Linked DNA regions of Stegostoma tigrinum. The protein of the gene in region 2 purifies or fractionates together with the protein of the main gene of each other region. This does not show direct contact. Links are inferred from orthologs where the notes say so. Each region holds a gene or a part of one and is shown on either strand. Other genes may lie near its edges. The genes, in order: surf6, esr2a, serine/arginine-rich splicing factor 2-like and ube3a.

The links.
Region 1: the proteins of esr2a (region 2) and surf6 purify together in Homo sapiens (affinity purification with mass spectrometry; 3 studies listed by BioGRID and IntAct, with this or other methods). This does not show direct contact. The link is inferred for Stegostoma tigrinum from reciprocal best matches to the Homo sapiens genes ESR2 and SURF6.
Region 3: the proteins of esr2a (region 2) and serine/arginine-rich splicing factor 2-like purify together in Homo sapiens (affinity purification with mass spectrometry; 3 studies listed by BioGRID and IntAct, with this or other methods). This does not show direct contact. The link is inferred for Stegostoma tigrinum from reciprocal best matches to the Homo sapiens genes ESR2 and SRSF2.
Region 4: the proteins of esr2a (region 2) and ube3a purify together in Homo sapiens (affinity purification with western blotting; 4 studies listed by BioGRID). This does not show direct contact. The link is inferred for Stegostoma tigrinum from reciprocal best matches to the Homo sapiens genes ESR2 and UBE3A.

Annotation. Positions count from the first base shown.
Region 1 is NC_081364.1:19,300,419-19,307,524, reverse strand, and holds the start of surf6 (surfeit locus protein 6), read right to left. Parts: upstream 3,163-7,106; 5' UTR 2,945-3,162; coding exon 2,845-2,944; intron 994-2,844; coding exon 829-993; intron 1-828. UniProt on the Homo sapiens protein: Binds to both DNA and RNA in vitro, with a stronger binding capacity for RNA. May represent a nucleolar constitutive protein involved in ribosomal biosynthesis or assembly.
Region 2 is NC_081363.1:3,531,875-3,539,398, forward strand, and holds the start of esr2a (estrogen receptor 2a), read right to left. Parts: upstream 3,051-7,524; 5' UTR 2,940-3,050; coding exon 2,857-2,939; intron 1-2,856.
Region 3 is NC_081375.1:31,151,587-31,159,418, forward strand, and holds the start of serine/arginine-rich splicing factor 2-like, read right to left. Parts: upstream 3,066-7,832; 5' UTR 2,884-3,065; coding exon 2,531-2,883; intron 711-2,530; coding exon 422-710; 3' UTR 400-421; intron 1-399. Other genes in the region: UNC93-like protein MFSD11, read left to right, coding at 3,730-3,825.
Region 4 is NC_081359.1:94,324,296-94,331,770, forward strand, and holds the start of ube3a (ubiquitin-protein ligase E3A), read right to left. Parts: upstream 3,119-7,475; 5' UTR 2,723-3,118; coding exon 2,670-2,722; intron 154-2,669; exon of another isoform or gene 40-153; intron 1-39. UniProt on the Homo sapiens protein: E3 ubiquitin-protein ligase which accepts ubiquitin from an E2 ubiquitin-conjugating enzyme in the form of a thioester and transfers it to its substrates.

The DNA.
Region 1 (7,106 bases), on a different chromosome or scaffold from region 2:
CAATCAAAAGACATGGCCATTAAAAGCACGGTGGTTATTAATAGGAATATGCAAGAGATTAGAATCACAGAAGGTTAGATGATATTACAGTCACAGAGGCATACAGCACAGAAACAGGCTCCTCAGTCCATACCAATCACATTCCCCCAAACTAAACTAGTCCCGGCTGTCTGTGCTTGGCTGATGCTGAGACGCCTGCACTGCAGTGGTAATATCCCTATCCCTGGGCCAGCAGGTCAGGATTCAAATTCTACCTGCACCAGACAGATGTTGTAATAACATCTGAACAGGACGATTAAAAAATATCTATTACAGATGTTAGGAGGGGGTAGACGAGAGGCCTTTGAAAACAAGGATAAGAATTTTAACATCAGAGCCTATTTATCTGGGAGCCAAAGTGGATCAGTTAGGAGGTACAAAAATAGAAGTTGCTGGAAAAGCTCAGCAGGTCTGACAGCATCTGTGAAGAAAAAAAAAACAGAGTTTCGAATCTGGTGATTATTCCTCAGAACAGATAGTAGCTGGGAAAACATCAGTTTACATGCAGAAAACAGAGGAGGTGGTGGGGGGCAGAGAACAAGAGGTGTTTGGTGAACAAGGCTCACTGTGAATCAAGACACAGGCAGCAGATTTTGGATGACCTCCAGTTTATGGAAGGTAAAATGTAAGAGACCGGCCAAGAGTGCATTGAAATAATCAAATCTGAAGGTAATGATAATAATGAAGGTAGAAGCATTTAATCTAAGTAACTAAATTGTGAAAGATTAAATTCACTACCCCAGTGGAGAATAGGATAACAGCACTCATAGCAAAATATAGTTCTCAAACCTCTGGTATTTTTCTTGATTTTGTCCATTTTCACTCCACCTTGAACAGTTTTAGGCTGACCCCCACTCATTGGTTGAACATTTTTCAACTCCTTAGGAGCTTCCTTTCTTCTTTTCTTCTTCTTTTTAGGTTGGGTCATACCTTCTGAGATCTCGTTCTTCGAAACTAAAAAAAAACCACAAACAAAACCACATATAATCTAAACAAGACTCAAAATTTCATTTAATTCACATTTAATAATTAACAGCATCACTTGAAAATTTCTCCAAGTTAATCTCCACACTGTAACATTATAATTATCTGCATGATTTCTAAGAAAGAAACCACCCACTTACCAGTATTCAAAACAAAAGATACTGTTGTTTCAGTGAGCCACTGCATCTGGGCCTCAACACAATATACTAACCTTAATTTATTCTCTCCAGCTTTGTGTTTGCAGTATTTTCATTTTCGTAAAAATTCCAAGTGATGATGACATATCATTTGGAGAAGCACACCAGATGGTTTTATTCCCTTGCATCTGCTGCCAATTTCCATCCAGGCACCGGACTATGGGTTTGGAAAATGCTGTAGGAACTCTGTAGATGCCATTTCCACCTCCCTTTGCCTTCATCTATTGCTGAAAATATGTTACTGCCATTGACACTTCCAGATTCCACAATTCCAAAAGGTTAGCCTGCAATCCACCAAACTCTAATCCTCACTTCTGCCATGTTTTTATAATGCCAATTTACTTTTAGTTTCTGCAATAGTAAAATGTAAATGTTTAAAAAAACTGTGGATGCGGGATAAGAATTAACTGCTGCATATGGTCAAACAGCATCAATGAAAGAAAAATATTCAACTTTTAGAATCAATGACCTCTTTGTTTCTCCTTCTCCAGATGATACATTGTATGGTTTAATTCATTTTTTAAATGCCATGGAACATGTTCCTTACTTCTGTCACACCAACCACCCCCTCTACTGTTCAGCGAAGTACAATGACACTCACTCAGCATCCTCATCTGTTAAATTGTATCCAGAATATCTGCTGCAGTGGCTAATTCTTTCACACGCTCTGTTGCCTCAACATTCCTGAAAGATCAATTTTTGCTTGGATCCTTTTACTCATCTGTGTAGCGTACCTTGACAGCATTGTGCAGAAATTGGATGTATTTCATATGCAAGGTAACAACGTCCCATGACATCTCTTCACCTCCCATATTGTTAAAATGCTTATCTAACATTCAGTCTTGGATTAACTACAGTTTATTCCACATAAATATTGGAGAGACAGTAACCAACTTTTCAATTTGTTTCACAAACATGCTCAAACTTTTCCAATTATTCCATCTGTTTCTCCACCACAGACTGAAAAAACACATTCTTAGCCTCATCATCCTACACAACAGAGTGGAGATTCTAACTCCACACACCTTCAGTGATACAAAAAAAATCACCTATTTCCACTTCTTCTTGCTCCAGTTCATCTATTACTGAAATCCTATTCATGACATTGTCACCTCCTGATTCTACAATTCCAATAGGTTTACTTCCACTCCATACAAAATGTCAGTTTACTCTTGACCTTGAAGGCCTACAATGGATGCATTAAAGGGCTCAAAGGCAATCTGCACGTTCTCATCCTCCTACAAAGCAACGTTCTGGCTTTTTCCTATCTCTGTTGAAGGAGAACGTATGAAGACACATGAGTAAAAGCTTGGTCAAGAATGCCGGTTTCAAAAGCACTTTAAAAGGATGTGACACAGAATGTGAGAAAATGATATTTCGGGGGATGATTTCAAGGCTTGGGGAGTACAAAAGTTGAAGTATGTCTCCGCACGGTGCGGGGTCGCAATTCTCGGAGATGGGTAAAGCTGGAGGAATTCAGTTAGAAGTTTCCATAATAGCATTTTCTTGTACAATGTATGACTTTTTGAATAGTACTACCAGGACTGCTTTCGTTCCTCGTCATTCATTAAATCACGAAAGCCAGGAAATCCCTTCATATTACGATGAGTAACGCGTTCCTTACCCAGCTTTCGTTTACGAGGTTCCTGGTTCTGGGATGCGCACACTTTGCTTCCCAAAATCTGAAAATACTTGTCTTTGGCGGCGAGGCTGGGATCAGCCATTCCTTGATCCAAGTTTGTTTCCTAATAAAAGGGGGAGAACTCAAACACCACGGAAGTAAAGGACGGAACCGGTGGAAAACTAAGCGTTAGGTGGACAGCAAATTAAAACAAAAGTGACTAGTTCTGATCGAAAGGTATTGAAGAACAAGGTGATGAACACTAAACTCAATCCCACTTCAAACACGCTACCAAGTGCATCTCCTACGTCATCATTCTGCGGCCGGCTTCACGCCCTGGCGCAGTGATGCGTCACACATAGAACCCCGTCCTAGCGGTTGAGGTGAGGTATTGCAGGATGTCAAGGACGAGGGTTGTTGAAGGGGCTTGGATCTCCTCAAACTTCTTCATTCGCTTCACTCCACGACTGATGCCCACTGTGCCCTCTGAGATAACAAAGTGTGGAGCTGGATGAGCACAGCAGGCCAAGCAGCATCTTAGGAGCACAAAAGCTGATGTTTTTGGCCTAGACCCTTCATCAGAAAAGGGGGATTGGGAGAGGATTCTGAAATAAATAGGGAGAGAGGGGGAGGCAGACTGAAGATGGATAGAGGAGAAGATAGGTGGAGAAGACAGTATAGGTGGGGAGGCAGGGAGGGGATAGGTCAATCCGGGGAGGATGGACAGGTCAAGGGGGCGGGATGAGGTTGGTAGGTAGGAAATGGAGGTGCGGCTTGGGGTGGGTGGAAGGGATAGGTGAGAGGAAGAACAAGTTAGGGAGGCGGGGACGAGCTGGGCTGGTTTTGGGATGCAGTGGGGGGAGGGGAGATTTTGAAGCTGGTGAAATCCACATTGATACCATTGGGCTGCAGGGTTCCCAAGCGGAATATGAGTTGCTGTTCCTGCAACCATCAGGTGGCATCATTGTGGCACTGCAAGAGGCCCAGGATGGACGTGTCACCTAAGGAATGGGAGAGGGAGTTGAAATGGTTCGCAACTGGGAGGTGCAGTTGTTTATTGTGAACCGAGCTTTGGTGTTCTGCAAAGTGGTCCCCAAGCCTCCGTTTGGTTTCCCCAATGTAGATGAAGCCACACTGTGTACAGTGGATGCAGTATGCCACGTTGGCAGATGTGCAGGTGAGCATCTGCTTGATGTGGAAAGTCATCTTGGGGCCTGGGATGGGGGTGTGGGAGGAGGTGTGGGAAGTGTGGGAGACGTGGTCGAGGGCGTTCTTGACCACTGCTGGGAGGAAGTTGCAGTCCTTGAACATCCCTGCAATAACCGCCAAAAGACAATCCCCCTCGTTCTCACATACCACCCCACCAACCTCCGGATACAATGCATCATCCTCCGACACTTCCGCCATCTACAATCCGACCCCACCACTAAAGACATTTTTCCATCCCCATCTCTGCCTTCCGGAGAGACCACTCTCTCCGGGACTCCCTTGTCCGGTCCACACTCCCCTCCTACGCCGCCACATCTGGCACTTACCGCTGCAACCGCAGGAAGTGCTACACCTGCCCCCACACCACCTCCCTCACCCCCATCCCAGGCCCCAAGATGACGTTCCATATTAAGCAGATGTTCACCTGCACATCTGCCAATGTGGTATACTGCGTCTGCTGTACCTGTTGTGGCTTCCTCTACATCGGGGAAACCAAACGGGGGCTTGGGGACCGCTTTGCAGAACACCTACGCTCAGCTCACAATAAACAACTGCACCTCTCAGTCGCGAACCATTTCAACTCCCCCACCCATTCCTTCGACGACATGTCCATCCTGGACCTCCTGCAGTGCCACAATGATGCCACCCGAAGAAACAGCAACTCATATTCCGCTTGGGAACACTGCAGCCCAATGGTATCAATGCGGATTTCACAAGCTTCAAAATCTCCCCTTCCCCCACTGCATCCCAAAACCAGCCCAGCTCGTCCCCGCCTCCCTAACCTGTTCTTCCTCTCACCTATCCCCACCTCAAGCCACACCTCCATTTCCTACCTACTAACCCCATCCCGCCCTCTTGACCTGTCCGTCCTCCCCGGACTGACCCATCCCCTCCCTACTTCCCCACCTATACGCTCCTCTCCACCTATCTTCTCCTCTATGCATCTTCGATCTGCCTCCCCCTCTCTCCCTATTTATTTCAGAACCCTCTCCCCATCCCCTTTTCTGATGAAGGGTCTAGGCCTGAAATGTCAGCTTTTGTGCTCCTAAGATGCTGCTTGGCCTGCTGTGTTCATCCAGCCCCATACTTTGTTATCTCAGATTCTCCAGCATCTGCAGGTCCCATTATCTCCCACTGTGCCCTCTGATTAGTAGCATTGGCAAGCATGCCGCGTATTAGCAGCAGCAAGTTTAAAAAAAAAGTAAACCAAAAAACTGCTGAAAATCTGAAACCAAAACCAGAAATTTACTGGAGAAATTCGATGGGTCTGGCAGCATCTTTTTGAGGCGTACCACAGTCTGTGTTTTAGGTGCAGTGACCCTTCTTCAAAAGTTAAAAACTATGATTGATTTTAATTTGTGTCGTCTGTTAAAAATGAGGCTTTATGAGGTTGTAGTGATTAGGGAATATTGAAAAGACTGGAAACTATTTTCTCGATACAAGAAAAAGTTGAAGAACGTATGCAATTGAATAGGCCGATTTTCTCCTCAGCCAACGGAGACCATGGCCAATTTAGCAACATAGCTTGATATACCCATTTATGTTTCATATTCTCTAACTCCTCTGATTAGCTACAATCTATCAATCTAAGGTTTTAATTTACAGGTAGTTGATCCAGCACTAATTGCTGTTCACAGAATAGTGTTCAAGCTTTAAAGAAAAAAATTTACATTTATGTGTTTTGTTGACAACAGAATGACTCAATTTTTTTTGCAACCAATTAAAACCTTTTTCCTGTGTAGCCACTTTAGTACTGTAGAAAACCTTTCTTTGTAACTTACCCTGAAAGATCTAGATCTAATTTTAAATAATGCTGCTTAATCATAGATTTCCAAATGAACAGATATTGTTTCAGCCTGTATGGTTATCTGTTCCCCTTCATATTTTAGAAACTTTGAGTGGATCACTCCTTAAATAATACCGTATTTTGTGTAATCTCACCTTCAACTGTCCCACACTGCACTTCCTCTAGTGCTAGAAAACATATCTTCCTAAGGTGTGTCCCAGAACTGCTCATAATACTCCACATCTGATCTAGCCAGGGCTTTATTTGTCCAGACCTTGACTTGTACTCCTCTTCTACTCCTCTCGATATAGAACATTACAGCACAGTACAGGCCCTTTGGCCCTCGATGTTGTGCCGACCTGTCATACCAATCTGAAGCCCATCTAACCTACACTATTCCACGTACGTCCATATGCTTGTCCAATGATGACTTAAATGTACTTAAAGTTGCCGAATCTGCTACCGTTGCAGTCAAAGCGTTCCATTCCCTTACTACTCTCTGAGAAAAGAAACTACCTCTGACATCTGTCCTATATCTTTCACCCCTCAATTTAAAGCTATGACCCCTCGTGCTCGCCGTCACCATCCTAGGATATAAAGGCCAGCATTCCATCAGCCTTTTTCATTATTTTCTGCACCTGTTCATTTCAGTTAAAACTTGCAGTCTACCTCCAGAACACGGAAAAGTGAAGGGTTTAAGCCTGAAACATCAGCCTTCCTGCTCCGACGATGCTGCTTGGCCTGCTGTGTTCATCCAGCTCTACACCTTGTTATCTCTGCAAAACAATTAATACTGTTTCTGCACTGTTGATTGATGCAGTCAGTGCTATATTATCCTGTGTTAATTCAAAATTTAGTCAGTATAATAAAGACTTTTTTAAAAGAAAGGGCCCATTGAAAACCCCCAAACCCATACAAAATTAGCCAATATTTCAGTAGGTCAGAAAAAGAGGTCAGGTGACACAAGAGATTTTAGAGAAACTGACATGAATGGAGCAAATTAGCTCAAAACATATTTTTGAGTGTTTTCAACATTTAGATGTAATAGTATTTTCTGATTTAATTTTTTTAATTTCAAAAATATACCTTATTCATTTAAAAAATCACAAATGGAGTTTGATTCTGTACAGCAGCTTATCAAGGAAACAAACATTAGATTTTGAGTTTAACAGAACGAACTAGAAGACTACATTGACGTGCATTTGATGCACCGGAGGGTCTGAAGACTGAACAGACCCCCATTTAACGCGATAATTTCTTTGAAAATAAA
Region 2 (7,524 bases):
CTGCAGTTAATTCATTAAAAATTAAGGAAAGCATCAAACTGAAGGAAAAGGCACATGACTGTTCAAAGTTAAGTGGCAAGTCGGATAATTAGTCTGAGTATAAAGAAAGCAGAATATGATTGAAATATTAATCCAGAGTAAAAGTAAATTAGACTATGAGACAAAGCTAGCTCGGAGTGTTTAAAAGTGGAAGAGAGTATTTAAAATGGAAAAGATTAAATACCTCTAGAGTAGGAGAATTGGTATTTAATAGCAGACAGTAAGGAAATAGTGGACGAAATGAACAGATAGTTTCCGCTGTAGAGGATGAAAGCCATCTCAGTAACAGCAGTAAATCAGGAGTGAGGAGCTCAGTGAGATTACAATCACTGGGGAAGTGGGACTGAGCGAAATGAAGAAGCTGGCATCTGACAAGTCTCTGGATCCAGATGCCTCAATCGTAGGGTCTTAAAAGAGATGGTCCAACAGGTAAGCGATGCATTGCTGTTAATTCTAAAATTCTATCTACGTCTCAATCTGAAAAATCAGTCCAACCCTCTGGTGCAGTACTGAGGGACTGCTTCACTCTCAGAGGTGCTCTGTTCTACAAGACATTGAACTGAGGTCCAAGCCGATTCTGGTCGATGCAAAATATTCCACAGTCACAATTTAAGAAGCAAAGGGGAGCTCTCTCCAGTGTCCTGACCAATGTTTCATTTCAAAAACACTGAGACCATCTCTCTATGTTTTTGAAGCAGATATTCTGATTATTATCACAGGACATATTATGGGGGCTCACTGCGTGCAAATTGCTTGACCAATGTTTTCAACAGTGACCACACTTTAAAAAGATACCACCTGCGAAATACTTGAGGACATCTTGAGGATGAGAAGGATGATATTGAAATGCAATTCCTACCTCTGTCCTACTGACACTTAAGCAGATCAGTTGAGAACAGGCCCCTATTGTGAATACAACAGCAGGAGAGATGGCCAGAGAGGAGAATAGGGCAGGGGGGCACGTTCACTGTCCGTGGTATATCGTAGACAGAGAAAAGAAAGTGTGAGAGTTTTCTCTAAAGCAAAGATTCCAACCTGAGTGAAGCTTTTTGCTTGAACATGGGCTGTGGCTGGATTTGTAACAATATTTTAACCGGTGACTGAGTGTGGAATGCTCTAACAGCACTGGAAGGATGCAGGGTTAACGGAGACTCAGCAATCTGTTGCAATAAGCTACGTCTCTCTCAAAAACTAAGTAATACCACCACCTGGAGGAATAAGGGAACACACTCACACTCACACTACAGACACACACACACACACACACACACACACACACACACACACACACACACACACACGCTACAGACACACCCACACACACACACACACACACAGACACATACACAGACAGATGCGCGCACACACACACTACAGAGACACACATAGACAGACACACTCACTCTCACACACACATTCACACACACCATTTCCAAGGCTTCCAGATGATATTTACAAAGCCAACACCAGGTTCTCAATCAGTGAGCACTGAACCAAAGCCACCTTCACACAGGGATAATGTTTACAGTTTGTTCACTGAGACTGGCTTTCATGTGCCTCACCTGGACAGGTGATTACACACAGGCACTGACCAGGCTGTCTCAGGATGTAGAACCCTTCAGGCACATTTGTAGGGGTGGTCTGGCTGGGGATGCAGATGATCAGTGTTGGTGCCGGAAGTACATTTTCCAATAAACGTGATCCCAACTTATGTGCGGTCCCAGTTCCCCCAGCAGCCTGGGGGCAATGCCCAGTGTTGGGGGGGGGGGAATGGGGTGGCTCAGGCATTTGTGACCTGCTGACTTTTACCCCTAGGCTACTGCTAAGGCCCTAAACTGGGGCAAATTGGGGAATTATTACACTCCAGTCCATGATCAATTTCAATCCCAACTCTGAATAAGGGAGACGGGGGGGGGGGGGGGAGTGAGAGGGGGGGAAAAGGAGAGAGGGCGAGAAAGAGTGGAGAGGGGAGTGAGAGAGAGGGGAGGAGTGGGTGGTGACAGAGACGTGAAGCAGAGGTAGAGCGAGAGAGATGAATGAATGAGTGAGAGAGAGAAAGAGGCGGAGAATGAGTGAGTAAATGAGAGAGGAGGGGGGGTGTGGACGGGAGGCAAGTGTGAGGATCCCATTCTGCTGTGATGCCTGATGTGGCCAAATAGCTAGTCAGCACTCACAGTGGAGCCTGGGAGAGTGCGCTCTCTGGCAATAGCCCCTGGCTGCCCTCTCAGGGGTGCAGTGAGACCTGGCACCACATCAAAGTCCGGATTCGGAGGGGACCGAAACCCTCTGAGTGTGAACACGAGTGTCCAGCTCAGTCCCTGAATGAAACACAACACAGCTGGGAATTTCTGAGTAAGCCCCCGTGCCCCCTGTCACTGGGCAGTACCTTCTCTCTCCCGCCCCCACACCCCAGGATGCTGGGGGTCCGGGGCAGCACATGAAGTCTGAAATTCACGGAGGGATCTGAAGTCGCCCGCGAGAGGACGTGGGCGTTTAAAAGAAAACATTTCCCCGGACAGGATATTTTAACAGGATTGCTGCGTTTCAGAAAAAAAAATCACAGCTCAATGAAAAACAAGTGTCGGGAGTTAGTTGTAAAGAGAGAGAGAGAGAGAGAGAGGTGAGAGTGGGGAAAGAGACAGGAGCGAGGAGAATGTGAAATAGGATGGGGTAGGAGGGAAGAGTTGGGGGAGAAGGGAGGGAAGAGTTGGGGGAGAAGGGAGGGAGGGATAGACAGGGGATAAAAGGGAGACCCAAGGAGAGAGGGTACCCAGAGAGAGAGTGTGTACACAGGGCAGGCTGCTCTCAGATGCTCACCGTCTCTTCAGCAGCTCCTCCCGGTCCATGGTCCTGCTGAAAGTTGTGTCAAACTCAGGTACCTCGCTGTTGGCCTCCAGCATCCACAGTCTCCAGCTGCTGCCTCCCTCCCCGCCTCTGCGTCTCTGTGCAGCCCCAGCTCAAAGCTGCTCCCTGGAGCTGGGGAGGGAATAGGGAGGCTGAGGAATGCAGCTGCGCTGTCTCTCTCTCACACACACACACACAGAGCTATTGGTGGGAAGCGCTGCTCAGCTGCCAGTGTTCTCACTCCCACTTACTGCCCTGGGAAGGCAGCGCCATCTGCAGTTGTCAGTCAGCACCATTCCAACACCCCCTCCCTCCAACTCCTCCTGCAAATCCCCTCCTCCCTCTGACTCTCACCAAAGTACATGGACACAGTGGGGAGATGGGAGGGTGTTCTGCTATTCCACCAGCGGGTCTAGGCCAGACATTCTTATGTCTTCACATCTATTTCAACTACTGAACCGTCAATGTCCTCTTTTTTTTATAAATCCATGGCCAACCAGCCCCATCATTCCCCGTACCTGCATCCCGTGGTTATAGCAATGCAGAGTTTAGAACTAGCAGGAGTGAGAAAGACTGAGCAGCATGCCAACTATACCAATTTGGGTGGCTCAGGGGTTATCGCTGCTGTCTCACAGTGCCAGGGACCCAGGTTTGATTCCACCCTTGAGCAACTGTTGGTGTGGAGTTTGCACAATTCCCCCCCACCCCATGTCTGAGATAATAGGAACTGCAGACGCTGGAGAATCCGAGGTAACAAGGTGCGGAGCTGGATGAACACAGCAGGCCAAGCAGCATCTTAGGATCCTGCTGTGTTCATTCAGCTGCACCCGCCGTGTCTGCATGGGTTTCCTCTGGGTGCTCCGGTTTCCCCCCACAGTCCAAGATGTGCAGGTTAGGGTGGATTGACCGTGCTGAATGCAGGGTTGCCAAAGGGTGGGGATGTAACTCTGGGTGGAATGCTCTACAGAGGGTAAGTGTGGACTCGATGTGCTGAATGGCCTGATTCCACAATGTTTGGATTCTAGGAACTAGCTTCAGAGCAGGCTAGCAACTCGTGAGGATCGACATGCAGATGCTGTAAGGATGAGGAGATGGGAAAAGTTTTTTTTCAGCCAGTGAGTAGTTAGGATATGGAATGCACTGCCTGATAATCAGAGATTGCAGTGATGATGTTGCCTCGTAGGGTAAGAAAATGTTTGCACACCATGGAACAACCAGATCAGCAAAGAAATGAACAATTGAAATAACAACCCGAGCTACATTTCACTAAGACTTTAAAAATACACCGCCTGGAAATGTAGTGGAGGCAGGATCATTGAGAGGGTTTGGGTAAGAATGGTGTCCCAGGGATTATGGGAGAAAGCAGGAGATTGGCAGAAGGGAATAGGACCAACACAAGAATGGTGGGTCGAACAGCCTCATTTAGCATGGTCATTGTTCTCTGAGAGCTGTGAGGTGTGAGACAGAAGAGATGGGGGTGGTGAGGTGTGAGACGTAGACTTTAATTGCTGGGCTATAAGGAGTTGTTGATGACTTGGGGGTCTGGGGTTGACTATGAGAGCGACCGGACGGAAGGAGACAATTGGATTATAAAGCACACAGACTCATCAATGGAGGGTTCGAGAAAACACAGAAGTTGTGCTGAGCATTCATGAAGCTGAAATAAAACAAAGAACTGGAGCTCACCACAATCTTCTCAAGGGGCAATTAAGGACAGGCAATTAGTACTGACCCAGCCCTCCCACAGATGTATATTAAAAAATAATCTGAAACAGAAACTGCTGGAAAAATTCCTAAAATCCTGACAGTGTGGAAGCAGGCCATTTGGTCCATCCAGTCACCACTATCCTTCTGAAGAGCATCCTAACAAGACCCACACCATCCCTGTAACTCTGCACTTCCCAAGGCAAACCCACCTAGCCTGCACATGCCTGGAATCTATGGGACAGTTTTGCATGGCCAATCCACCCTACCCTGCACATCTTTGGACTGTGGGAGGAAACCAGAGCACCCGGAGGAAACCCACGCAGACACAGGGAGAATGTGCAAACTCCGCACAGACAGTCACCCGAGGCTGGAATCGAACCTGGGTCCCTGGTGCTGAGAGGCTGCAGTGCTAACCGCTGCCCTAACTCAGCAGGTCTGGCAGCACCTGCGGAGAGGAAGCAGAGTAAACATTTCAGGTGTAGTGACCCTTCTTCATACCTGATGGTAGCTAGGAAAAGGTGGTATTTATGCTGAAGACAGGGGTTGGGAGGGGGATAAAGGGGTAGGGGAGGTAAAGGAGTGTGCAGTAGGTGAAGATGGACCCATTGGGAGTGAGTTTGCAGACAAATCAGTGGGTAATAGTAAGTCAGGGAGACAGAATAAGTCTGATAATAAGAGCCATTAGTGGGTGAAAATGGTTAGCTGTGTGGAAATCAGCCAGAATCATGGCAGAGGCTGAAGAAAGGATGTAGAAAGGAGGTTCCCAGGCCCAAACATTATTGTTCTCAATATTGAGCCCTAAAACCTGTGGGGTCCTCAAGCAGAAAACAAAATGATGCTCTTTCAGACATATATACCATCCCTACCCAGCTACAGTCAGTTCAATTGTAAGGTAACTAGAATCGATGTATTATCTCTGTCTCTCTCTCCCTCTCTGTCCACAGATGGTGCCAGACCTGCTGTGTTTCTCCAGTCATTTTTGTTCTTGCCCCGTAAAGCTGCAGTTAGGCCACAACCAGGGCCTTGAGCCCAGTCAAGGCACCACACTACGCGAAGGGAGCAGGATCCTTCGGGACAGTGTAGGGAAGCAAGTTTGGTTCCAGGGATCGGAGAAGTTTAACTCCAGATTTGTTCTGGAGAAACTGATGTTCCCGTTGGGAGAGAGAGAATTGGAGGGAGATCTGATCGAAGGATTAGTTTGGGATTGATACAGGGCTACAGGGAGTGAGCGGGCAGTGGGATTAGTTTGGTGACTGATGGGCCAGAGGAAGAGAATGGGGCAGAGGGGTTAATTTGGATAATGATTCAGGGCCATAGTGAGAGTGATGCCTAAGCACAGTGGCCAAGACAGTGCAGCACTCCCTCAGTAAATACCGATATTGCATTTCTGCTAAGTCTCTAGACCTGGGACGACCCCACAACCTTCTGCATCCAGGATGGGAACAACAGCCACTGGGCTATGTGGAAATGTCCTAGACATTGTCAAGGGGCTGAGTGGCCTCCAGCTCGTGTGGAATGGTAAAAGCAGGCTCTCAGGATGAAAGGAGCTGTGCTGTTGTCCTCAGATGCTCTCTATCTGAACCAATCTTCAAACTCCAATCCTTCTGAAAGGAGTCACTGCATCAACCAGCAATCTCACAGATTGATTTGTTACCGCTAGATGTGAACATTTTTCCAAAACGTTCACATATTGGTCCTGCTGTTCCTGATCTAATCTCAATTCCCAAATTAATTTCAAGTCTTAAAATTGACTTCAAAGCATCTCACTAATCTGCCTTTAATTATAAAAATGAATCTAGATTCTTTCCAGATTGTTATCTGCACAGAGTCGTTAAACTGCAGGCTGGTTGGGATAATATACTAACTTGTTTTCTTTCTGACTGACTCTGAGTCTGACAGAGGGTCCCTACAAAACACTCCTTCATCAAATCCTGATAACTGATGGCTTCAAATGATGATTGCTGGACATACTAAGCCAAGAAGCTAAATATTGTCATTGGCCTCTTGAAACATCTCCTGTAAATCCCAGCCAAAAGAGCAGAACAGTTTCCATCTGACAGAGGCAGAGACCCCAGTTAAAACTAAATCTCTGATCCAAACTCATAACAAGATAAGAAGGGGAGTCTGCAACAAGGGAACATAACCTTAATCTCAAAAGCAGGCTAGCTGAGACGGTAGTCAGGGAATATTATTGGAAAGACAGAGACTTGCATGAGCGTTGCAGAAAAGAAAAGGCGCATTTTTGCATAGAAAAAACTTTCCATCTTGTACCATTCAGGACAATTTGCAAGAATACCAAAGTGAAGGGAAACTGACATTTATACTGCAAGAGGGGAGTTGTGAGGATGGCAAGTGGCCCAGATTGGGAAAGAAAAATAGAATATAAGGCACAGATTTTGGAAATCAGGAATAAAAATAAAGTGCTACTAAAAATCAGTAGCGTCTGTGGAGAGAATGCAGAGTTAACATAGAGTCCAATCTGATTCTTCTTCAGAGCTTCTTCAGGCTGCTAAAGATGTTGCCTTACACAATGCACCTGTGATATGATGACTGACTGTTAACTGTTACATTGTGTGCATGGAATCAGCCTGTAGGAAACATCGAGTATATTTAAGACAGAGATAGATGGGTTCTTGATTGTCAAGGGGATCAGGAGTTATGGGGAGAAAGCAGGAGAATGGAGTTGAGAAATATATCAGCCACGATTGAATGGCAGAGCAGACTTGATGGGCTGAATGGCCTAATTTCTGGTCCTGTGTCTTATGGTCTTATGGCCCTTTGTATTAATGTGTGGAGCTTCCAATTTGTTCCTATGTATCATACTGTGAGCCTGACTGACCATCATTAAGTGACTGCCTGCGCAGCTTTTTTGCTCACTCAGGAATATCTGGCAAATATCGCCCAATCACAGAATCGTTCGAGATTAGAAGGATG
Region 3 (7,832 bases), on a different chromosome or scaffold from region 2:
GAACTTTCATTCCTTGATGCTGATCAAACTAAATTCATTAATTCACAAATTATGCAAGTACACAGGATTACTCCGTCTGCAGTACTATTTACTAACTGTCCGTGTGGAATTGGCATTAAGGAATTAATGTTTCAGCTGCACAAACAGAGGTACGTACATGCTGGTAAACTAACATACTATGGTTTCAACAACAAAACGGTAGTCGGAAAATTATCTCCCATGACTAATAATGGAAATTCAATGGAGTCAGCATCAAGACTTCCCCTTTCAGAATTTCTCAATAACCAAAAGCAACTTTAATAGTTTAGTCATTCATTCACCCGTAAAGCTGTAAATATGCATTATTACTTTCGAGAATGATTCAAAAAATAATGCTATTACTTTCGTGTATTTACTCACTTTGGTGCAATTTACCACTTTTTTATGGTGATCCAATTCCATCTTTCTGTGGAGATCTTGAATATATGGGGGTTTTCGACCGGGATTTTGACTTGGATCCTCGAGACATTTGCGATCCACTCCTAGATCTTGATACAGACCGAGACCTTGACTTTGATTTAGATTTTGACTTCGATCTTGATCTTTCAACAGACCTCGATTTTGAACGAGATCTGGATCGAGAATAGGTGCGAGACCTGGACCTGCTGTAGCGGGATCTTGACCTAGTTCGACTTCTGGACCTTGTACGGGACCGACGTCGTCTTCTCGGACTGAGAAAGGAAAGTTTTAGTAAGATTAATAAGTGGAAAATAATAAAAAGTACAAAATCTCTGACAAAACCATTGTTTGCCAATTTTCACAGCCCTCTACACCCAAAGCTGTATGCATTTGAGCTTCATAGGTAATATCATCTCTCAATGCCTCCCTTCAAGTGCAAGTTTTAATCTGTGTATGTGACAATGATAGGAAATGTAACCAAGGGGCAAAGAAGATGATAATCCTTTCACTATCTGAAATCCCCCCTAGAGATGTTTCTTTCCAAGAGGCACTGTTACCTATCCATAAGTACTCTCTCCCTCTTGAGCTCATTAAACACAACATAATACAGTTTTCCACTTCACTGGGTTTATATTAAAAACAATAAGCCCATGCACATTGGGAAATTAAGACAACTATTAAATCTTTAAATAAAAAACATAAGAACTGCAGACACCGTAAATCAGGATTAAAAACAGAAGTTGCTGGAGAAGCTCAGCAGGTCTGGCAGAATCTGTGAAGAACAAAATCAGAGTTAACGTTCTGGGTCCAGGTTGAGCTTTTCCAGCAACATGTGCTTTTCTATGAAATCTCTAAACTATTTTAGCCATGCAATTCTCCCATGTGTCAATTTAATTATTGAATGCCACTTTGTCTGTAATTCGCAGCTGCCAAAAAGCAGAATGGTTAGCATCAGCTCTCTCCAAATGCAGAGTATGGCACCCACAGACAATCAGTTGTCCTCACATTACTAAAAGCTGACACAGCCAAAAAGTCAACCAAGCCCCCACTAGAGGTTTACATGGTTTGAAATACCATGTTATGAGAAACAGTTGTTCTTTAGAACACAGAAATACATGGAACTCAATAAACTAGATCAGGGTCAAAACTCAAGAAATACTTCAGAAACTAAGTCTATAAAATTCATTCCAAACGGAATTCACAATGGGGTGCAATAGATTCTTTTTAGGAACATGCTTCATTTCTGTAGAACGTCCATTATATACGTTTACTACTGATCTCCGTTTTCCTTTGAATGTTGCGAGATCAAAAAAAATGGTATCACTTATCTGTTATAACTGTTCCCCTGCCTAAATATTTGCTCAACCACGAATAAATGAAATAAACGCGTCTTTAACCAAGTACTCCAGTTCACAGTATCTCAGGAGTGATAACTGTACGACACAAAACCCTTTGCGCCCAGGCTCAGTAAAGCACATCCTTATCTCAAGAAGAGCAACAAAAGAGTCAGTTTTTAATAACTGTCTAGAGCCTGTGAAAACAGCCTCCCTCGGCGCGGTATCTATTAGCTGGCAGTATAGGAGATTAAAAAAAAATACTGTCAAAAGGAAAATGTGTATCTACTCGGGATGAAAGAAGCGAAACTTGTTGCTTAAAACTCTAACCGGGCTTTTGATTTGAAGTTAAACCAAAATTGTTGCCTTTTCGAGGCAGGTTTATACGGCGAGGACCAGCCGAACTTGAACAAGTTGAAATCGATACCTACCATCACAACTGAAGCAAGTTCCCGAAATTCTGAGGGAGGGTCACCGGACCCGAAGCGTTAGCTTTGATGTTTTTTCCCCCTTCTTCACAGATGCTACCAGACCTGCTGAGCATTTCCAGCAACTTCTGTTTTTGTTCCCGAGAATTCTTGACCAGCCCCAAGAAATGGCGACTCCCACAAGTTCATAAAGGAATGGGTGACAAGAGGGGTGGAGGGCGCTGAGCTTGATCGTGCCTTACTCGATCCGCCACACAAAACTTTTAGGGGAAGAGAACCAATGAAGCACGGCGATGCCGCCACCCTCCCCTCCCTTTCTCGCCCACCAACCTGCGGCTTCTCCTGCCGTAGGCGCCACCGTAACGTCGGGACGAGCCTCCTCGGCGGTGTGACTCGGCCGGGCGGCCATAGCGCGCCATTTGCACCCTCAGTTCCCGGCCATCCAGCATCGCGCCGTCCATGGCGTCGATGGCATCCTCGGCGTCCCTCTTGTCGTGAAAGCGGACGAAGGCGAAGCCGCGGCTCTCCCGGGTGAAGCGGTCTCGGGGGATATAAACGTCGCCCACTTTGCCGTACTTCTCGAACACGCGCTTCAGCGTCTCGGGCGACGTGCGGTAAGTTAGGTTGTCCACCTTCAGCGAAGTCATCCCTTCGATATCGGGGGGCATTCGTCCGTAACTCATCGCTACAAATCAACCTAGCTTCCGAACAGCAGTAAGTTAGAAGGAGACTGTGATAGAGCCGGCTCTGTATAGAAAACCGCCAGAAAACCAGCGCCTGGCCCAACGACAATCACAAGATGGCGCCTGCGTCACCCGGAAACACACCCAAACCGCCAGGGGGAGGATGTCCCAAAAACGCACATTTCAACTTCAAATAAAACTTTTTTTCGCTGCACTCTATGTTTTAAGGCCAACATAATAATTTCCGTATATTTTGTTCCGTCACTGACTCAGGAATTAAATCACCGCAACCGCGGCGCCCCCTGGGAACTGTAGTTTACTTGCCTCCTGCTCTTCATTCGGTTCATATTCATCGCTGCCAACGACATTCAACATTGCGTTCGTTGTCAAGCAGGAAATCGTCAGTCGGGGCGTTATCCGCTTTGGAACATCAAGTTCAATCAACTTGAGAGGAAAAAAAATTCAAAGACTAACGTTAATTTCCGATTGCGGCGCACGCGCTTGGTGTTTCCGGTATTGTGGCGGTTGATGTGATTTCTGAGTGGGGAGTAGTTGAAGAAGACTGACTGAGTGAGGGAGTGAGTGTTTGATGAGGGGAGTGAGCAAGGCAGGAAGAAGGAGAGGGAAGGGGAAGGACGAAATGAGTGAGCGAGGAGCAGTTGAAGAAGGCTGAGCGAGTGACGATGAAAAGAGAGTGAGAATCAGCCGTTTTTCCAAACAAAATTCTCATTGCAACCGAAAGCCTGGAATTTGAAAGAATATCATTTTGAAGTTCGCCAGTCAAAACTAAAACTTATTACCGAGCCCACAAAACAGTGCACCAAGCAAATACCTAGATGTTTAACAATGACACCAGAAGGAACAAAACTCATGAATGTCATAATTTTGGGATGCGGCTTTCTGTTAGTTTTCAGTGCCTTTCAAACTGGCGGCAACATAGAAGTGAGTGCTTAGTTCTTGAACCTGAATTCATGCGATTTCCATCATTTCCTTTAATGTTGGAAGGAATTAGTAACTTTTATTGTTTTCTTTGGAAGCTTTTTGAAACTTTCAATATAAATTTAATGTCTAACTGCCCTGAAAATCTGTAAAGGAAGTGGGTGTTTATTGATGAGTTTATCTATGAAACTGCTGATGTAGGTTTTGGATTGATAAGATGGTTTAAGTGCAGTTTAATTTGAAGTTTTCACGAGATATATTTTCATACATTAAACCTATTGCATTTTTCAGGCTGAAGAAGGAAATGTAAAATTGTGATGCAATTTTTTTCTTTTAAAATGAAGCTTTCAAATGTATATGTGAGTGTATACAATGTGGAATAGGATCTTATCAAAGCTCTAGCTTTTCTTTGTTTTGGACTTTGTTAAGTAACAATAGATTGCTGCGCTTATCAGTTCTGAGTCTTTTTGCTGGTGTCTAAAATCCACATATTAGCGGGTTCTGGCAGATTTCATTAGGTCACGATCAAAAACGAAACCAAAGCTAATCTTAGATAATAAAATGTGAGGCTGGATGAACACAGCAGGCCCAGCAGCATCTCAGGAGCACAAAAGCTGACGTTTCGGGCCTAGACCCTTCATCAGAGAAGGGGATGGGGTGAGGGTTTTGGAATAAATAGGGAGAGAGGGGGAGACGGACCAAAGATGGAGAGGAGAGTATAGGTAGGGAGGGGTTAGGTCAGTCCAGGGAAGACGGACAGGTCAAGGAGGTGGGATGAGGTTAGTAGGTAGGAGATGGAGGTGCGGCTTGGGGTGGGAGGAAGGGATGGGTGAGAGGAAGAACAGGTTAGGGAGGCAGAGACAGGCTGGGCTGGTTTTGGGATGCAGTGGGCGGAGGGGAAGAGCTGGGCTGGTTGTGTGGTGCAGTGGGGGGAGGGGATGAACTGGGCTGGTTTTGGGATGCGGTGGGGGAAGGGGAGATTTTGAAGCTGGTTAAGTCCACATTGATACCATTGGGCTGCAGGGTTCCCAGGCGGAATATGAGTTGCTGTTCCTGCAACCTTCGGGTGGCATCATTGTGGCACTGCAGGAGGCCCATGATGGACATGTCATCTAAAGAATGGGAGGGGGAGTGGAAATGGTTTGCGACTGGGAGGTGCATTTGTTTATTGTGAACCGAGTGGAGGTGTTCTGCAAAGCGGTCCCAAAACCAGCCCAGTTCGTCCCCTCCCCCCACTGCACCACACAACCAGCCCAGCTCTTCCCCTCCACCCACTGCATCCCAAAACCAGTCCAACCTGTCTCTGCCTCCCGAACCTGTTCTTCCTCTCACCCATCCCTTCCTCCCACCCCAAGCCGCACCTCCATCTCCTACCTACTAACCTCATCCCACCTCCTTGACCTGTCCGTCTTCCCTGGACTGACCTATCCCCTCCCTACCTCCCCACCTATACTCTCCTCTCCACCTATCTTCTTTTCTCTCCATCTTCGGTCTGCCTCCCTCTCTCTCCCTATTTATTCCAGAGCCCTCACCCCATCCCTCTCTCTGATGAAGGGTCTAGTCCCGAAACGTCAGCTTTTGTGCTCCTGAGATGCTGCTGGGCCTGCTGTGTTCATCCAGCCTCACATTTTATTATCTTGGATTCTCCAGCATCTGCAGTTCCCATTATCACCAAAGCTAAACTTCCTTCTCTTGCTGCAGAAATGTTGTTTTAGACACTTTGAAGCTGTGTGTGTGAGCAGTGCATAGTTTGAAAAACATTTTAACAAGTTAGGAGAGTTGATAGTCTAATGTATTATAGCCAGACTATTAACCAGGAGACCCATGTAATGCTCAAGCAACCTAAAGTTGAATGCTGCCGTGATGTTTCAATTGAATTTTTAAAGATCTGGAGTTAAAAGTCTCATGATGAACGTGAAACCATTACTGATTGCCGGGAAAAGTCCATTTGGTTTATTAATTCCTTTTAGGGAAATAAACTGCTGTCCTTACCTGGCTTGGCTAAACGTGACTCCAGATCCACAGAAATGTGCTTGACTGCTCAATGGGCAATTAATGCTGGCCTGGCTCTCACCCCATGAATTAATAAAATTAAAGTTAACCATTTAAGATAGTTGCATACCAAGTATGTGCAGATCACTTACCTCTTCTGCTTTTCTAAAAAGAATGGTGTCTAATCACTAACAGTAGCAGTCGACACACTCAGTCACTTCTCACCTTGGCATGCCATGCTTGATCCCCACTAAAAATTATCACTTTGTCCCATCCTGGTTATGCTCCCTACTAATGTTGCTACATTTGCTTTAATGTGTAAAAAGCCTTCTAATATATATAGGGATTGGTTTAATCTCATATGATGGTTTTTTGTATATGAATAGTTTGTAGACTTGTCATATAGCTAGAAATAAAATGGATGAAGTTATTCATTTTAGGATTGTTCAAGGTATGGATGCCTTTTAACAGCCAGAAGGTTTGTTGTCAGGGAGAGTTTGTGAGCGGGGAATAGTTAATGATGTATCAGTGGCGTTCAGAATGATAGGGAAGCCTTTATCATAGGCAAACGTGACAATATTGTGGATATGTTAGATACCTGAAGTATAGTATCATTTTAAGGGATGGCTGTGTGCAACTCACACTCAAAAGATTTTGAACCTTTTTAATTGTAATTCCTAGCAATTTAAATGAATACTATTGACAAAGGTTACACTCCCTACCCAGATCAAAAGTTGATAATATTATTTATTTCTTGGTATAACTTGCTTTTAAGCTTCATGCGTCAAGATTCAATTAAACGTTGAAGATTATTTGCAACGAAAAGTTGGTGTTAAGTTTGAGAATCTCACAAGTGCAAACTTGAAAGTACTGTAAATGGTAGAAAACTGATTTTGCCACTGTGCAGTGGCTTTCAGTACACATTGATTTTTAAACTTCTTATCCATATTTTCAACTTCATCCATAACCATGCCTTTCCTTATTTTTGTGACCTCCTCCACCCCTGTTCCTCTAACTCTTGTCTTTTTTGCATCCTCCACCCCATTCACACCAATGTTAGTAGCTGAGCATTCAGCTGTATAGACATCAAATTCTGGAATTCAAGCTTTCTGTATCATTGATTCTTTTAAAGATGTTTATTAAAACCTTTCTGTTTAAACAAGATTTTAATCATTAATATGTCCTTTTTTTAGCTGGGTGTCAGTTTTTATCTAATTATTTACTTGTAAAATGCCTTGGAATCTTTTACTACTTTTAAATATTCCATGTACTTTCAAGTTGCTGTACCAGTGATTATTGTCAAATTTGAACCAAATGATCAGTTTTGTCTCTGTTACTGAAAAACAAAGGTTCAACAATATAAAGTTTGTTGGAAGGGATAGAATTCTCAATAAACAGACACTAGATCATACAGCTGTGTTAGTTTTCGTAATGTTGTTGGCAACATGAGTAATAGGTATGATGTGATATGCTTATAAATGTGTATGTGTGTTTTGAGGAATTAGCATGAAATAAACTTGATAGCCCTAATTCAAGTTCGTAGGATAAAACTTGTCAAGTTTGGTCGTCAGCAAAGCTGTTTGAGAAACGGAAATCTGGTACGAGTGTCTGTCATGTTAGGAATGTCTCTTGTATGTGTTTCATTCTGTGCCAAAAATGAAGAATTTATTGTTTGAATCCAGTCATACACTGGATTTGGAAGTATTTTCAATCTAGAACTTTTGAATTTCTTGACTGGATTAAAGATGAAATTTGATTGACAGCTTTAACTGCAGAGACTGAATTTACATGTCCGTAGGTATAGATCAGATTCTGCCATTAAGTGAGATTATTCATGTACGTGCATGGGGGCAATTCTGTTTATTAACTGGATCTTTGTGAATGGTCATGGAAAGGCTTGGTGATTACAATGCTCTTGATGTGGCCTATGTGCACTTCCAGAAAGCATTTGATACATTGTCACACAACAGATAACAGTAAAGTTATAGGACATGAGTTAAGAGTCAGTAGCAACATAG
Region 4 (7,475 bases), on a different chromosome or scaffold from region 2:
GGTCTGTGGGATGCTAAGCCAAGGAAGAGATACACTTACATAACTTCACCATCTGGAGAGCCGATCTGAGGTATTCTGGTCTTGTCTGTGCAAACGTATGTGATCAGAACTCCCTAGTCCAACTAACTGTAGCAACTCTACTGTGTTTACGACCTAAATACAGAACAATTCATAGCAAAGTTATTTTGAAGGCAAGCAGAATGACCATTATGGCCAATTCAGAAATAAATCTAATCTCTTGCAATAAATTAGTTAGATAATACCACTTGATCAACCAATGTTTCAACAGAAAGAAACTTCATATCTGGGTAGAAATCCCTGTTGCGGATTATATTTTTCTACACTTTGCACCAAACCCAAATCTGAAATATCTACATTTTGTGAAGATAATCACTCCATTTGTATTATATGTTGTTATATGTAAAACAAAAGAAAGATTTTTCACTGAGCAAGTGATAGTACAAGTTAATATTTACATATGATCATTAAAACCCAACTGGCACAGCACTGCTCTCAATCAAGTTTTATTAAAATTATTGATTTACTAAATCCTGAAGCTATCTGGGGCAATGCAATATTCAAGATGATGTTCAGATACTCGTGCGCTGTTCAGGCCGCAATTCCACTTCATCACAAGACGGAGGACAACAACTGATGCCCCTGGATAGGGAGAATTGTACAAGTCCAAGAACTTGGTAGAACTGACTGGATAACAGGAAAGACGTCACTCATACTTTACACTGCTGCAGTCACTGTAAGCAAAACATGATTCCAAAGAAATAAACCAATTTACAGAATAGAAGCCTGCTAACAGATATGTTACCTTGAGCTACTTGCAATAAGTAAACAACACAATTTATCAACGTTTCCAGTTGAAATTACAACAGTCATCACAAGAGATGATTCAAGCCACTGAATCTGTGCCAATTCTGAGAAATCCAGTCAGTTCTACCACACTATCCCCAAATACCCTTTCCCACCATATGATAATAAGTAGTGAAATTTTGTTTGTTGGTTTGGCAAATTTAGCTTCTGGGGAAATGGTTGCACAGTGATAATGTAAACATAATAGTAATCCAGAATCCCTAGATTTTAAATGTTCTGGGAACATGGGTTCAAATTACATCTGGTACAGGTTGACATTTAAATCTAAAAATATGAAGTTAGAAGCTAGTCTAGTGGTAATCATATAACCAGACTCATTTGTTGTTAAAATCCCATCTGGTTCACTAATCTCTTTTAGGAAATCTGCTGTCCTTACCTTGTCTGCCCAACGTAACTTCAGACCCACAGCAACATAACTGACTCAAATGCCTCTGAAATGGTGTAGCAAGCTTAATTCCAGGGACACCAGAACCAATAAAAATGTTTGCTTTTGTTTAGTACCTATTTATAAAGCCCATTAAAAGATCAGATTTCATTATGATAGGCTTTACAAACTACAATCTTGTCAAATCATTACAACTTAATAGTTCATAATTTATACAATCAACTCTCTCCTTTAAATCTGGCCCTATGCACTACTTGTCAGCAATATGCAAACAACTTCAATAAAAGCAAAATACTGTGGATGCTGGAGACATGAAAGATAAACAAGATATGCCGGAGAAACTCAGATTTACCAGCATCTGTGAACAGAGAAACAGAGATAACATTTTAATTTCAACATGATTCTTCAGGTTCTGAAAGACAGTTATAATTGGCTCAAACTGTATACAGCATTAACTGTTCCATCTCCACAGATGTTGCCAGACTTGCTGAGTTTCTCCAGTATTTTTAGAAAATTACTGCAAAGGACTTCAACCTCAAACACCCCCCTTTCAATCAGAATATCTTGACCTCAGGGTGTCATATTCTCTTGCTGCATAGCTCACTTTCATTTCCAATTAAACATAGCAGAGCCTCCAGTAAGTTGCAACAACCAATTTAGCTGCAACAGCATGTTATTGCTGGAAAAAAGTACACTATGCATTAATTTTTTTCAATTTAAGTTGAATTTGACCACATTCACAATGCCTAACTTGGAATATCTATGTAATAGACATTTTTCAGCATCTAGTACAATTTGAAAGGTGAACAAAAACCACTGAAAATACTCCACAGGACAGGCAGCATCTGAAGTGGGAGACAGCATTAACCAATTAGGTCCAAGATCTACACGAGTTGCGATGAAGGATCATTAACTTGTGTTTTCTCTGCACGGATAGTGACATTCGTAGTAGCATTTTCAATACTGTTTTTCCATCAAAGCAAAAACAAACCCTTTTCGCCAACCCGCCAAAGGGCAACCAATCAACTTTCGGGGGCCTCACCTTCAGCAGGAAACCGAGCAGGAACCCAGGATCTGATATGACACAGGTTAACTTTCTTTGGGGGGGCGGTAAGGGAAAACTAAATTCGAGAGATTAGGAAGGAAACAAACAAGTTCCTAACCAAAACAAAAATCAAAACCAATAAATTCGTATTTTTTTAAAAAAAAATCACTATTTGGCCGAAAGGACATACAAAACGTGAAGCTAACTAATCAGACAAAACGTATTGGTATTAAGGAAAGCGAAACAGAGATAAAAGGCTAGGCCCTGAGTCCTGGTCACCAGGGTGGGGGTAGGGTTGTGGGTCGGAGTGGTGGGGAGAAGGGGATGGTGCGTTGGCTTTAAACTAACACCGACCTTGCGTTCGCCGCTGGTGGCGCACACTCCGAGCTGGCCTCGGCGGAATTCATACGAAAGCGGGTTGCCTTCCAGCCTGGGCTTTTCTTTTTCCGCTCCTGTCCCAAGGGCCGGCGTGCGGACAGGCCTCCAAGGTGGGAGGGACGCGTATGTGTGGTTATATGTTTCCCTCCCCGGCCTCGCAAACGAGTCGCCTTCTCCTCTGGTGGCGGCGGCTGAGCGTCCGGCTCACTCCCAGTCTCCGCTTCCCGCCGGCAGATTTTACCCTGCAGAAAAGCGCGGCAACGAATTCTGTTCGCTCCCCTATCGTGTCGTGTCGGTGCCCAGCTGTTCTAACACCACCGTTGGCCCGGACCTCGCTCTTGTCGCTGCTGCTCCTGCAGCCTCCGCTCCTCCTGGCCTCCCCGGTCCGCCATCTTGGTGTGAGGGCGACTCACCCGCTGGCGCTTTCCCAGACTGCGCTGCGCCGCGCATGGCAACTGCCATTCCTCTTCGCCCCGCCCCCTCGCTCATCCGGTCTCTTAAAGGAGCAGCACCTCCCCACAACTCAAATAGTTAAAGCCCCAGAGATAATGGGAACTGCAGATGCTGGAGAATCCAAGATAATAAAGTGTGAAGCTGGATGAACACAGCAGGCCAAGCAGCATGTTCCTTGGCCTGCTGTGTTCATCCAGCTTCACACTTAGTTAAAGCCCCAGTTGTGCCACAACTTTGTGTCATTAAGGTGCAGCCGCCGTAGAGAGAAAAAGACCTTAACATGAAGGTCTTCTCATGCCTCAGGCAAGAGGGTTCTTCATGGGAGCTTCAGCTAGCAGCAGGACTTGAACCCAGGCTGTATAGGACTTCCCCTACCCTATAAACCAGCTGTCCAGCAACTGAGCTAACCAACCAACAGCCTAGGAGTAAGTTTTCAGAGATAGTCATCATCAAAGGTTAAACTCTGCAGGAACACATGCAGAAATGCACAAACGCAGCAGGTCTGGCAGCATCTGTGACGGGAAAGTAGAGTTAACATTTCAGGCGACCCTTAGAACATAGAACATAGAACATTACAGCACAGTACAGGCCCTCCGGCCCTCAATGTTGTGCCGACCTGTCATACCGATCTCAAGCCCATCTAACCTACACTATTCCATGTACGTCCATATGCTTATCCAATGATGACTTAAATGTACCTAAAGTTGGCGAATCTACTACTGTTGCAGGCAAAGCGTTCCATTCCCTTACTACTCTCTGAGTAAAGAAACTACCTCTGACATCTGTCCTATATCTTTCACCCCTCAATTTAAAGCTATGTCCCCTCATGCTCGCTGTCACCATCCTAGGAAAAAGGCTCTCCCTACCCACCCTATCTAACCCTCTGATTATTTTATATGTTTCAATTAAGTCACCTCTCAACCTTCTTCTCTCCAATGAAAACAGCCTCAAGTCCCTCAGCCTTTCCTCGTAAGACCTTCCCTCCATACCAGGCAACATACTAGTAAATCTCCTCTGCACCCTTTCCAAAGCTTCCACATCCTTCTTGTAATGCGGTGACCAGAACTGTACACTATACAACAAGTGCGGCCGCACCAGAGTTTTGTACAGCTTCACCATAACCTCTTGGTTCCGGAACTCGATCCCTCTATTAATAAAAGCTAAAACACTGTATGCCTTCTTAACCGCCCTTTCAACCTGGGTGGGAACTTTCAAGGATCTGTGTACGTGGACACCGAGATCTCTCTGCTCATCTACACTACTAAGAATGTTACCATTAGCCCTGTACTTTGCCTTCTGGTTACTCCTACCAAAGCGCATCACCTCACACTTGTCTGCATTAAACTCCATTTGCCACCTCTCAGCCCAGCTCTGCAGCTTATCTATGCCTCTCTGCAACCTACAGCATCCTTCGTTACTATCCACAACTCCACCGACCTTAGTGTCGTCTGCAAATTTGCTAACCCATCCTTCTACCCCCTCATCCAGGTCATTTATAAAAATGACAAACAGCAGTGAACCCAACACCGACCCTTGCGGTACACTACTAGTAACTGGTCTCCAGGATGAACATTTCCCATCAATTATCACCCTCTGTCTTCTTTCAGCAAGCCAATTTCTGATCCAACCTGCTATATCTCCCACAATTCCATTCCTCCGCATTTTGTACAATAGCCTATTGTGGGGAACCATATCGAACGCCTTGCTGAAATCCATATACACCACATCAACCGGTTTACTCTCATCTACCTGTTTGGTCACCTTCTCAAAGAACTCAATAAGGTTTGTGAGGCACGACCTTCCCTTCACAAAACCGTGCTGACTATCCCTAATCAATTTATTCTTTTCTAGATGATTATAAATCCTATCCCTTATAACCTTTTCTCACACTTTATCAACAACTGAGGTAAGGCTCACTGGTCTATAATTACCAGGGTTGTCTCTACTCCCCTTCTTGAACAGGGGAACCACATTTGCTATCCTCCAGTCATCTGGCACTATTCATGTAGACAATGACGAGTTAAAGATCAATGCCAAAGGCTCGGCAATCTCCTCCCTGGCTTCCCAGAGGATCCGAGGATAAATCCCATCCATCCCAGGGGACTTATCTATCTTCACTCTCTGAAGGATTTCTAATACCTCTTCCTTGTGAACCTCAATCCCACCTAGTCTAGTAGCCTGTATCTCAGTATTCTCCTCGACAACATTGTCGTTTTCTAGAGTGAATACTGTTGAAAAATATTCATTTAGCGCTTCCCCTATCTCATCTGACTCCACACACAACTTACCACTACTATCCTTGACTGGGCCTAATCTTACTTGCGTCATTCTTTTATTCCTTAAATACCTATAGAAAGCCTTCAGGTTTACCCTGATCCTATCTGCCAACAACTTCTCATGTCTCCTCCTGGCTCTTCTGAGGTCTCTCTTTAGGTCTTTCCTGGCTATCTCGTAGCCCTCAAGTGCCCTAACTGAGCCTTCACATCTCATCCTAACATAAGCCTTCTTCTTCCTCTTGACCAGAGATTCCACCTCCTTCGTAAACCACGGTTCCCGCACTCTACAGCTTCCTCCCTGCCTGACAGGTACATATTTATCTTGGACACACAGGAGCTTTTCCTTGAAATAAGCTCCACATTTCTAATGTGCCCATCCCCTGCAATTTCCTTTCCCATCCTATGCTCCCTAAATCTTGCCTAATCTCATCGTAATTGCCTTTCCCCCAGCTATAACTCTTGCCCAGTGGTATACACCTGTCCCTTTCCATCACTAAAGTAAACATAACAGAATTGTGATCGTTATCACCAAAGTGCTCACCTACTTCCAAATCTAACACCTGACCAGGCTCATTACCCAGTACCAAATCTAATATGGCTTCGCCCCTTGTTGGCCTATCTACATACTATGTCAGGAAGCCCTCCTGCACACACTTGCCCACGGATAATACCAGGCCTGCTGATTTCCTCACTCAACAAAAAATAACCCAAATCAGAAACAAAAGCAGAAATTGCTAGAAAAATTCAGCAGGTCTTCTACATCATGGGGCTGCACGGTGGCTCAGTGGTTAGCACTGCAGCCTCACAGCACTGGGGACCCGGGTTCGATTCCAGCCTTGGGTAACTGTCTGTGCAGAGTTTGCACATTCTCCCTGTGTCTGCATGGGTTTCCTCCGGATGCTCCAGCTTCCTCCCACAGTCCAAAGATGTGCGGGCTAGGTGGACTGGCCATGCTAAATTGCCCGTAGTTTTCAGGGATCTGTAGGTTATAGGGGGATTGTTTTGGGTGGGATGCTCCAAAGGGCAGTGTGGACTTGTTGGGCTGAAGGGCCTGTTTCTGCACTGTAGGGAATCGAATCTAATCTAATCTGTGAAGAGAAAATAACAGGGCCAAGATTTCAGGTCTGATGTGGTTCTTCTTCAGAACTAAGAACTAGTTCTGAAGAATCATACTGGAATCAAAACATTAACTCTGTTTCTGTCTCCACTTATGCTGCCAATCCTGCTGAATTTCTCCAGCACTTTCTACTTTCGTTTCAGATTAGAAAGATGCTTGATGACCAGAACAGATGGGACAGGCTAAAAGATATTTTGTCTGTGCTTTAAAGGTTCTGTGACTTTTCATTTGAAATTGTTTCTGACTCCTCATTCCATTTTTGATGTTTTTAATTTTAACTTGAATACCAGTATTTTGATATTCACAAAATCAAGTGCTCGCAGAAGTAATGCTTTTGAAAGTTGAGGGATTGGGTCACATTGAATTGTGTCGGTGTGTGGGAGAGAAGAGGTCAAGGGAGTCCCTTGAGAGAAGGAATCCAGAAGGCATGTAAGAATCCTGAAGCAGCCAAATGGGAGTGCACTAAAGGGATCTGCGTGGGACAAGATGGATCAGGGGAAGCCTGATGTGAAAGGTAGTTGTTGGGGACATGAGGTGTAGGGAGGGGGTGGAGGTTGTTACGACTGAGGCTTAGTCTGGTGAGGGGCTGGAGTGATTCAAAGATGTGACTCCACTTACGTCGTTTCACCTTCTGTCCATCCTCTCCCCGTGCCTGAAGTGAATTGTGCCTTACTCCCACACCGCCAGCCCCCCAACTGGTGGGAAGCATCCAGGCCTCTTAAGATCCATTTGCTAAGTCCTGTTACAATAGAGAACTAACATGGGGACAAGCTGAGAGTTCAAAATCAAGAATCTGCACAGAGGCACGAGGGTCGTCGAGCACTTGTGTTATAACAACGGTATATTTGATCAGAAGCATCTTTGTGATGAAAGGTATCTGTAAGTTAATATAATTTTAGAATTTGAATTTTAACATAGTGATGAGTGGAGTTGATC